Arabidopsis thaliana: one gene and its partner. The protein of the gene in region 1 interacts with the protein of each later gene in a pairwise test. Each region holds a gene or a part of one and is shown in the gene's direction. Other genes may lie near its edges. The genes, in order: SQS1 and RABG3d.

Evidence for each region.
Region 2: the proteins of SQS1 (region 1) and RABG3d interact in a protein complementation assay, tested with the Arabidopsis thaliana proteins (one large-scale study listed by BioGRID).

Annotation. Positions count from the first base shown.
Region 1 is NC_003075.7:16,536,564-16,542,825, forward strand, and holds SQS1 (squalene synthase 1), read left to right. Parts: upstream 1-1,625; 5' UTR 1,626-1,925; coding exon 1,926-2,120; intron 2,121-2,138; exon of another isoform or gene 2,139-2,357; coding exon of another isoform or gene 2,358-2,387; intron 2,388-2,478; coding exon 2,479-2,521; intron 2,522-2,670; coding exon 2,671-2,760; intron 2,761-2,851; coding exon 2,852-2,927; intron 2,928-3,088; coding exon 3,089-3,158; intron 3,159-3,432; coding exon 3,433-3,582; intron 3,583-3,690; coding exon 3,691-3,795; intron 3,796-3,897; coding exon 3,898-4,044; intron 4,045-4,219; coding exon 4,220-4,295; intron 4,296-4,455; coding exon 4,456-4,544; intron 4,545-4,641; coding exon 4,642-4,733; intron 4,734-4,899; coding exon 4,900-4,942; intron 4,943-5,035; coding exon 5,036-5,092; 3' UTR 5,093-5,461; downstream 5,462-6,262. Other genes in the region: AT4G34630 (prostatic spermine-binding-like protein), read right to left, coding at 530-1,129; SQS2 (squalene synthase 2), read left to right, coding at 5,814-6,008, 6,093-6,135.
Region 2 is NC_003070.9:19,467,295-19,471,453, reverse strand, and holds RABG3d (RAB GTPase homolog G3D), read left to right. Parts: upstream 1-1,867; 5' UTR 1,868-2,004; coding exon 2,005-2,057; intron 2,058-2,147; coding exon 2,148-2,174; intron 2,175-2,267; coding exon 2,268-2,367; intron 2,368-2,578; coding exon 2,579-2,725; intron 2,726-2,826; coding exon 2,827-2,907; intron 2,908-2,985; coding exon 2,986-3,131; intron 3,132-3,237; coding exon 3,238-3,304; 3' UTR 3,305-3,639; downstream 3,640-4,159. Other genes in the region: PERK15 (Protein kinase superfamily protein), read left to right, coding at 1-28, 111-181, 259-335, 425-575, 641-802, 910-1,203. UniProt on the Arabidopsis thaliana protein: Intracellular vesicle trafficking and protein transport.

The DNA of each region.
Region 1 (6,262 bases):
ATTCAGAGTGATGCGTACATCCTACGAGTATGACTTTTCAAACAACCACCAACATTCACAAAAATTGCAAAAGCTTCTACAAAGATAACCAAATTAACCACCACCAAACACAAACCTTCTTCCTGTTAAATCATTGCTACAGTTTAGCTGTCGTTTTCAATTCTAAGGTTCACACAAGATTAAACGAGCTCATCTATCAAGAGTTATTATGATCCATTCATCATCTTCTCCATTTCAACACTACAATTTGCTAACCCAAGATTCACAATCACAATCTGATCAACCAAATTAAAGAGCCATCAAAGAAAGCGATCAGTTAATGAACAATGAATCCTAAAATGCGAGTTATTTAATTTCCATCATGTACAATGAGATCTTCAGAAGCATCCGAATTACTTACTACTAAAGAGGAATTGAAATTGAACTAACAAATTTACACATCAATTAAACCCAGAAACTGAGAAATTCTACCGAGAGTTCTTGAAGAAACCATCCCATCGCCTTGTGAAACTTCGAAATCCCAACACAATCAGCACTTGAATTTCATGCCGAGACCATGCTTACCACGAACGATACCAGGCTTCAAAAACGGAGATATCTTCGAGGCATAGACCTTGGCGATTGCTCTTTTCCCCAGTTTCCTCATCCTTTGTCTCCCCACCTTCTTACTCACGCTACGCGGAACCAACTCTTCGTCAAGATCATACGAATCGTCGTACTCGCGATCTTCTTCGCCGTCGTCATTAACACTATCTCCGTACGTAATTCCAACAGAATAACCAGAACCTCCACCGAGAAACATCATCCGCTGCTGAGACCATCCAAGATCATTCTCATCAACTTCATCGCGAACGACATCATCGCCAACATCATCATCACCATCCAGATCCACGGCGAGATCACCACCGTCAGCAATAGGAATTATCTCATGCGGCGGAGAAATGACAGAGGGTGCGACAAAGGAAGCGTCGTCAAGAGATATGACGTCATCGTCGGAAAGACTATCGACGGAGAAAGAATCGTCGGAGAACTCGCCATCAGAAGGATTAACAACTTCCCAGAGATCGAGATCAACTTCTTGATCGAGAATGAGAGGAGACATGGTGATAACCCTAGATCGCTGCGCCATTTTCGAAATTGTGTGTTGTTTAGAGGTTGCTTCTTTGATTTTTCAAGACTGTTTGTTTTTGATAACCAGAGGAAGTTACCCTATTAATAGAGGCAAACCACCGAGTGTTATCTTGTGCTAATTGGTAGTTACACTGTTGAAGATACGTATTTACAACCAGTTATATGTTGCCACGTAAGGATTATTTTGCCACCTCAGCGTCGCCAGAAAGTTTGCCAGTAAATAAATAAGTGGACATGTAAATTTGATGTCGTACATTTATGATAATAAAAACTAAAAAGATACCTTTTCTTCCATTTTTTTAGAATATACCTTTTTTTCCTTTCAACATCTATAATTTGATCATTTCTTTCTAATTTTGTTAATTTCTGATTATATTAAACACATTTTCTCTGTTTTCTGTTTTTTTAATCTAATTAACACATAAGAAAAAGGGAGTTAAAAAGAATAAATGTACTCTCCATTTCCATTTGATGATATTCTTTAAGTTTCGTGGCTCTTTTTCAATTTCATTGGCTCTGACATTTTGTTTTTAATTAAAAAGGAAGAAACAAACAAAATGTGAATCCTTGTGAGTTGGCTCACTGGCAAAAAAGAAAGAAAAAAAATTCAGAAGCCTTTGTTTTCATCGATGAATAAATTAACAAACAAAACTAAAAAATAGGATATTCGCTGGCCGAATCGCGTCGATCCACATCGCAGGTGAGGGTTCCTGCAATTTATCCCTCGTGGTCTCTGAATCTCAGATCGTCGTCAACGAATCCTCCATTTTCTGAATCAAAATTTTCTGGAAACAATGGGGAGCTTGGGGACGATGCTGAGATATCCGGATGACATATATCCGCTCCTGAAGATGAAACGAGCGATTGAGAAAGCGGAGAAGCAGATCCCTCCTGAGCCACACTGGGGTTTCTGCTATTCGATGCTCCACAAGGTTTCTCGAAGCTTTTCTCTCGTTATTCAGCAACTCAACACCGAGCTCCGTAACGCCGTAAGTTCTTCTCGCTCTCGGCCTCTGTGTTGGTCAACGTCTTCAATTTTTGGAGGAATCCAGATATCTGACACTCATTTATTGTTGACGTCGGCGATGATTGGTTTCTTCTGTAGAATCCGATGGCTTTGAGAGTTTGTGTTCCACTTAGTTCAATATGAGTTATGCAGATTCTTATTAATTGATTCTGCAGTTTCTTCTGAGCTGCAGTAAATGCAGATTGTATTTTAGTGAACTATGATTCGATATGTTTCCACATATAAAATGGTGTGTGTGTTCGATCACATGCTATCAGTGTAGCTGTGTTCAGTCTTGCAGCATTTTCTTATTCAATTTTTTTTTTTTTTTCATTTTGTAGGTGTGTGTGTTCTACTTGGTTCTCCGAGCTCTTGATACTGTTGGTTAGTGTCTCTTAACTTTGCTTTCAAGATTACCTTGATACGATGAGGCTTCTCCAAAATCTGCTATATTTCTGTTTTGAAATGCTTTTATGTTAGAGCCATCTTTCTTCTTCGTGCTTCTGCTGCTAATATTATTTTTTGTACGACAGAGGATGATACTAGCATACCAACTGATGAAAAGGTTCCCATCCTGATAGCTTTTCACCGGCACATATACGATACTGATTGGCATTATTCATGCAAGTCTGAAGAGTCTCTTAACATCTTCATCTTTCACATTCCATTAATCTTTGACTGTCTAACTGACAAATTTTACTTGTTCAACTTTAGGTGGTACGAAGGAGTACAAGATTCTAATGGACCAATTTCACCATGTTTCTGCAGCTTTTTTGGAACTTGAAAAAGGGTTAGTTCTAATATTTGCTATACGCACTTCTGTTCTACTTTATAGATTTTTTCTGCTCATGTTGTCTCACGTTTATTGAGTTACTCAATTTGTTGATACTCTTATCTGCTTTCTGACAATACTAATTACCTCATTTTTAACATATGCTTTTGTATATGAAGGTATCAAGAGGCTATCGAGGAAATTACTAGAAGAATGGGTGCAGGGATGGCCAAGTTTATCTGCCAAGAGGTCTGTGATACAGAGCAGTTTTCGTAGTTGGATTTGTTTTTGAGTTATGGTGACAAAATGTCTTGAGCTGGACTGAGGTCTCTGTTTCAGTTAGAATTCTGTCATGCTTAATCTTTTCATAAGTCATAAATATTGGAATGCCTCATGTGATGCTTCTATGATATGACAAGTAGTAATTGTATTGAAAGTACCAAAACTTATTTATAAGTTTTGTAAAGAAATGAAATCATTTGTTTACCGATCCAGTTGATCCAGTTTTCACTATTATACACAGGTAGAAACTGTTGATGACTACGATGAATACTGCCACTATGTTGCTGGGCTTGTTGGTTTAGGTTTGTCGAAACTCTTCCTCGCTGCAGGATCAGAGGTTTTGACACCAGATTGGGAGGCGATTTCCAATTCAATGGGTTTATTTCTGCAGGTACAACAATGTATTTTGAGGTGTACAATGTTTCTTCTTCCTCAAATCTTTTGCAATTTCGGACAATTTCTATCATTGAATGATTTATAACACTGGTCTTATTTGCAGAAAACAAACATTATCAGAGATTATCTTGAGGACATTAATGAGATACCAAAATCCCGCATGTTTTGGCCTCGCGAGATTTGGGGCAAATATGCTGACAAGCTTGAGGTGCATACATACCACTCTCAAGCTCTCATCTTAGGTCTGATGTTACCCATATTGACTATTTTCTGACAGTGCCTTTTTGGTGATTTGTAAATTGTAATGTAGGATTTAAAATACGAGGAGAACACAAACAAATCCGTACAGTGCTTAAATGAAATGGTTACCAATGCGTTGATGCATATTGAAGATTGCCTGAAATACATGGTTTCCTTGCGTGATCCTTCCATATTTCGGTTCTGTGCCATCCCTCAGGTTAGAGAACGAAATATCACATAATTGTTAAGTCTTTAAACTTCACATTGAGAACTGTTTATATTGTTTTCCTCTTCATATGGAATTAGGTATTCTCCTCTTTAACTACGTCTGCACTAATATAGAATGCCTTAGAAGTTAATATTGCTTTGCTTGGGTGTATTTTCTTGATTAGATCATGGCGATTGGAACACTTGCATTATGCTATAACAATGAACAAGTATTCAGAGGCGTTGTGAAACTGAGGCGAGGTAAGATGTTAAGCCTTAGAAATTATGTAGGCCAATCCCTAATTTCTATTTATGAGAAAGGAAAACCCGTTATCTTTTATTATCAACGAGCTTGAGAACGTGTAGTAGCTAGCCTTATTATCTGAAGGCTAATATCGCTGAACAACTATCTATTGTTTAGGTCTTACTGCTAAAGTCATTGATCGTACAAAGACAATGGCTGATGTCTATGGTGCTTTCTATGATTTTTCCTGCATGCTGAAGACAAAGGTAGTCATCAGTTCCATGTTTGTGATTAGTTTTTCACTCAGTTTCTGTTTAAAGAAAAGAATCATATGTGAATTTTCTATCGACATATATGACATAGGTTGACAAGAACGATCCAAATGCCAGTAAGACACTAAACCGACTTGAAGCCGTTCAGAAACTCTGCAGAGACGCTGGAGTTCTTCAAAACAGGTACAGTCTTTTATTTAATCCCAAAAGCTGCATTAAATCCTCTCACTAAGAAACTGGTCACAAGCACCTATAACTAATCTTCCAAGTATTCTAGAATAGGATGATATTATCATAATCTTTCTTTCTGGTTGGGTTTCTGCTGAATCATTGTGTCTCTTCCTTTCAGAAAATCTTATGTTAATGACAAAGGACAACCAAACAGTGTCTTTGTAAGTTACATAGTTTCCCTTTTCCATATAAGTATCTCATTTTTAAAAAAATACATAAAACTTATATTCTATATATTCTACCCGAAAATGCAGATTATAATGGTTGTGATTCTACTGGCCATAGTCTTTGCATATCTCAGAGCAAACTGAGTGATCCATGTAAGCGAGTCTGATTGTATCACCATCATTCAAGATGTTCAGAGCAAATTTGAGTGATGAAGTAATCTAGGTTGATTCTTATTCACGCCACTGAATCCTAAGCAAGATTGTTTCCAGAACAAACAGAGTTTAAGCATGGTTTAGTCTAAAACCATGGATTCTATTTTAGTTACTACCTTCGTTATCTAAACGTGCATTTGTTCATCTATTTTTATTCCTTGTGTTTAAAGTTCTTTCTTTGTTTAGTTGCGTTTCTTCTTTCGTTCTCTTTTGGCATGTTTTAAGATTAATTTTACCAACAACAACCAGATAAAATCCAAATGCAATAAGAAAGAAAGAAAAATGACAATCGAAGACTGAAATCTCTTCTTTCTTTTTAGGTCGGCAAAAAAGTCTCTTCAAAGTATATAAAACAAAAACATGAATCAAGATTAGATTTATCTTTTTAACGTTAAGTGTGTAGCACGCGGCAAGCAATTTAAATGCAAAAATAGAACATAGTTGGACCAGTAACATGTATCACCGTGGCAAGCTTAAGAGCAAGGCTAATAGCGATTCTGTGGAAGTGCAAGGTATGCAAAGGCCGTGGGGTCTATTGATTTATTAATAGGGCCATATTTGTTGAATTATAGCACATGGCCTACCATTTTGTTCCCCAACAAATCCTCCATTGTTTCAAACGAGTTCTGTTTTTTCTCCTCTGTTTCTAAAAATGGGAAGCTTGAGTACGATTTTGAGACATCCGGATGAGTTATATCCGCTCTTGAAGTTGAAACTTGCGATTACGAAAGCTCAGAAGCAGATTCCACTTGAGCCACACTTAGCTTTCTGTTATTCAATTCTTCACAAAGTTTCTAAAAGCTTTTCTCTTGTTATTCAACAACTTGGCACCGAGCTTCGTAACGCCGTATGTTTTTTTTTTTTTCTATATATAGCTATGTTACATTTTTAGTTACAGCAATATTTCAAACATTTTCTTTGTTTTTATTAGGTGTGTGTGTTCTACTTGATTCTCCGAGCTCTTGATACTGTTGGTTAGTGCTTCATAACTATAGTATCCATATATTACCTTTGATTTGATGAGTCTTCTTCTCCAAGTCTTTTGGTTTTTTAATTCTTGATGATAGAAAAAGTTAGTATCATCTTCTCATATTTTTGCTA
Region 2 (4,159 bases), on another chromosome or scaffold:
AAAGGATTGGCATACTTACATGAAGATTGTGAGTATAATGTTCTTGTCTTTGAGTATTGTACAACATTAGTTTCTGAAGTTTTTGTCAAGGAGATTTTGTTTTGTTTCAGGTAATCCTAAGACAATACACCGCGATGTCAAGGCTGCAAATATTCTAATTGACGATAGCTATGAGGCGAAGGTATTCTTGAACTTGTAAAACTATATAAAAATGTTGTTTAGACTGCACTACTAATAATGCTGAACTTGGTTCATCAGTTAGCAGATTTTGGACTTGCCAGGTCTTCTTTAGACACTGATACTCATGTCTCCACTCGGATTATGGGAACCTTCGGGTACGAAACACTCTTTTCTATACGCAACCATAACCATAATAAGTTCATAACATACTAACAATCTTTTAAACTTCTTTCTTGTGATGCAGTTACTTGGCTCCTGAATATGCTTCTTCAGGGAAACTTACTGAGAAATCAGATGTCTTCTCAATTGGAGTGGTGCTTCTTGAACTGATAACCGGACGCCGTCCTGTTGATAAATCACAGCCTTTTGCTGATGATGATAGCATCGTTGATTGGGTTGGTTATCTTGTTTCCCTTACCACCACTTTTAATAAGCTTTTAAACTTTACCTCATGCTCTAGGCAAAACCTCTGATGATACAAGCGTTAAACGATGGAAACTTTGACGGTCTTGTTGACCCGCGGTTAGAGAATGATTTTGATATCAACGAAATGACGAGAATGGTTGCTTGCGCTGCTGCTAGTGTCCGTCATTCAGCTAAACGTCGCCCAAAAATGAGCCAGGTACTAACTATCACATCAAAACCTTTTGGCAACATTCAATCTAACACTAGGATAAAAAATGAAACTTTGTGAGTTCAATGGTGTCATTGTTCTTTGGACAATTGCAGATAGTTCGAGCATTCGAAGGAAATATATCTATAGATGACCTAACAGAAGGAGCTGCCCCAGGACAAAGTACTATTTACAGCTTAGACGGGAGCTCAGATTATAGCTCAACACAATACAAAGAAGACTTGAAGAAATTCAAGAAAATGGCGTTCGAAAGCAAAACATTTGGTAGCAGCGAATGCAGTGGTTTGACTAGCGACAATGGTCAGAACCCATCAGGCTCGTCTAGTATCACCGAAGGCCAACGTACAACGCAGGAGATCGAACCGGAGAAGAATACCAAGGACACATGAACTTTAAACAGAGGATTCTTGGTAATAGTTAAGTCTTATCATTTTGGGGTAGGACCCGTAGGTTTAGGTGTAAAACACATTATTCATTAGACGCGCTTTCACTTTTAATTATTTCCATGTGTGGCTCTAATCGAAACTGTCATGAGCCTGATATTGCACGTGAATATTATTTGTTGGAGATTTTTTTGAGTTTGGTGTGAAGATATTAAATTAGATTCAATCAAAGACTTTATGATTCTTAATTATTTTTTGGCCGTGATATATTATTTGAGTGGAAAGTTATTTTTAACATCTTTGATTCTTTTTTTAAAGCATGTTTTCTTTTGTTATCCATGCAACTTTGAAGAAATTGTTTTTTTTTTTGCAAATGAAATCCCATATATATATTAACCGATTTTAGATTCAGAGAAATAATATTTTTATAAGCATGGTGTTTGATTTTTGGTTGAAGGAGTAATTATTAGTATAGTTAGTACATAAGTCAATGGTAATTAACAAAACATTTGATAAAGTAAACATAATTAGACCGTTTGAAGATTTCTTCAAGTATAATTAATTAATTTTTTAAATTGTTTATAATAAGATTAGTTAATGACTAATTAAAGGAGGGGCAATTTTGGGAAAATAAAAGATTTTAAAATAGTAACTTTGCTGTTATTTAGCTAATACAGTATATACTTTTTCTGTAAATCACACGAAGAAGAAGAACCAAAAGAGAGAGATTGTGAAAGAAGAAAACAGAGACAGTTTCTTCGCTGAAAAGAAAAACCAAATCAGCTAAATCCCTAAAAGTTTCCGTCAATGTCTTCTCGCCGGAGAGTTCTTCTCAAGGTTATCATTCTCGGTGATAGCGGGTAAATTCTCTCATCTCTTCAGATTTCAGATTTGATGTGGTTTTATTTGTTCATTGAATGATGAGATTTTGATTCTTTTTTTATGGCCAGTGTTGGGAAGACTTCGTTGATGAATCAGTATGTTTCTGAAATCCAGATCTATGTGTCTCTTACTTAGAACATTGATAAATTCCTTATGAAATTTGATTTTGATTGATTCTATTTTGATAGGTTTGTGAATCGAAAGTTTAGTAATCAGTATAAAGCTACGATTGGAGCAGATTTTTTGACTAAAGAGGTTCAAATAGATGACAGAATCTTCACTTTACAGGTATTCTTTGAATCAATCAAACATTTTGATTCTTAGAATGTGATTGGATCTTAGGTTCCTACCTTTTTGGGTTTATAATGCAGAAAAAGTCAAAATCTTTCTTTGTTGAGGTTCAAATTTGTGTGCTTCTTAGGAAGATACAGTGTTTTTTTGGTTGTCTATAGAGATTTATAGAACTATTACTAATACAATCTCTTGGTACATTATATAGATTTGGGATACTGCTGGACAAGAAAGATTTCAAAGTTTGGGAGTTGCGTTTTACCGAGGAGCGGATTGTTGTGTTCTTGTCTATGATGTCAATGTTATGAAATCTTTTGATAATCTTAATAACTGGAGGGAAGAGTTCTTGATTCAGGTAACACTAATCCTCTTTGTTTTTTTCTTTCTTATAGAACTTTGTAGTTTGAGAATTGTATTGCTATAAACCAAATGCTTCTTTGTGGTGTCATTGTTTAGGCTAGTCCTTCAGATCCTGAAAACTTTCCATTTGTTGTGTTGGGGAACAAGACTGATGTTGATGGTGGAAAGAGCAGAGTGGTGAGACGTTATCTTCATTTCATGAAATACTTAAGTGTCTAGAGTTTGGTTATGCTAAAGTTATCCTATATTTGTCAGGTTTCTGAGAAAAAGGCAAAGGCATGGTGTGCATCTAAAGGAAACATTCCTTACTTTGAGACTTCCGCCAAAGAAGGATTCAATGTAGATGCGGCTTTCGAATGCATTACCAAAAATGCTTTCAAGAATGAACCTGAAGAAGAACCGTAAGTACAAACATATCTTACTGCTTTTTTTTTTTTTTTTGGCAAATTTGCATCACTTCAAGTCGTCGTAGTCTTATCTTCTGACCGTCTCTGATACCTCTCGTAGGTACCTTCCCGACACCATTGATGTTGCCGGAGGTCAGCAACAAAGATCAACAGGGTGTGAATGCTAATCAAGCAAAAGTTTGTTGCAGATACATTGTTTTGTTTGGCACATTTTGATTTTGTAACAATATATTTATAACTTCCAGAAATGTATTTTCAGATTCATTTTGAGTTACAGATTGTAATGAATTGGGTTCCTTTTTCTTTTGGACTCTATACTGATACCAAAATCCAACTTAATTTCGATTCTAGAAGGGGTTTGAATTTGAAGGATACATTGGACGGTTTTTGTGGGATCTTGTCTCTGAAAGCGATGAGAATTTGAAGATCGATCGTCTCTCAGCGTTTTTACCAATACAAAAAAAGTTAAATAATAAATACGGGTTAAGCGTATCTGATTGGGGCAATGTGTAAATATTATTAACTCTTAAACTAAATGTGTAAATAAAAATAGTTGACTTTGTCAAATATAGATAACACAACTGAGAAAATCAATTTCCTCTACCGGTAAGCAAATCATAAGAAAACTAGGAAGTGTCCCCAAAATCATAGCATACACTATATTTGTAGCTTATTATATATTCTTCAATAAAAAAAAAGTAGCTTATTATATATTGAGAAATGTTTAGATTTTTATGGACAAGAATCCAAATTAATATGACATAGCATGTTTACATATCAATTTTCTCATAAATATCAAAATAAAAATATATATCTAAAAAAAAGGTAGTAAATTTTAAAAATATAGATGTTTTTTATAATAAATAATTCATATATCTTGATGTATAATTTTTTTTTTCTGAATGTGTAGAAACTTATTTAGTAGTATGTATGTATATGGAAGAAACAACTTAAAGATAATATGTGTATTTTAATGTTAAAAAGTTACTATTATAACAAATGGATTAAAGTTGATATGTGAA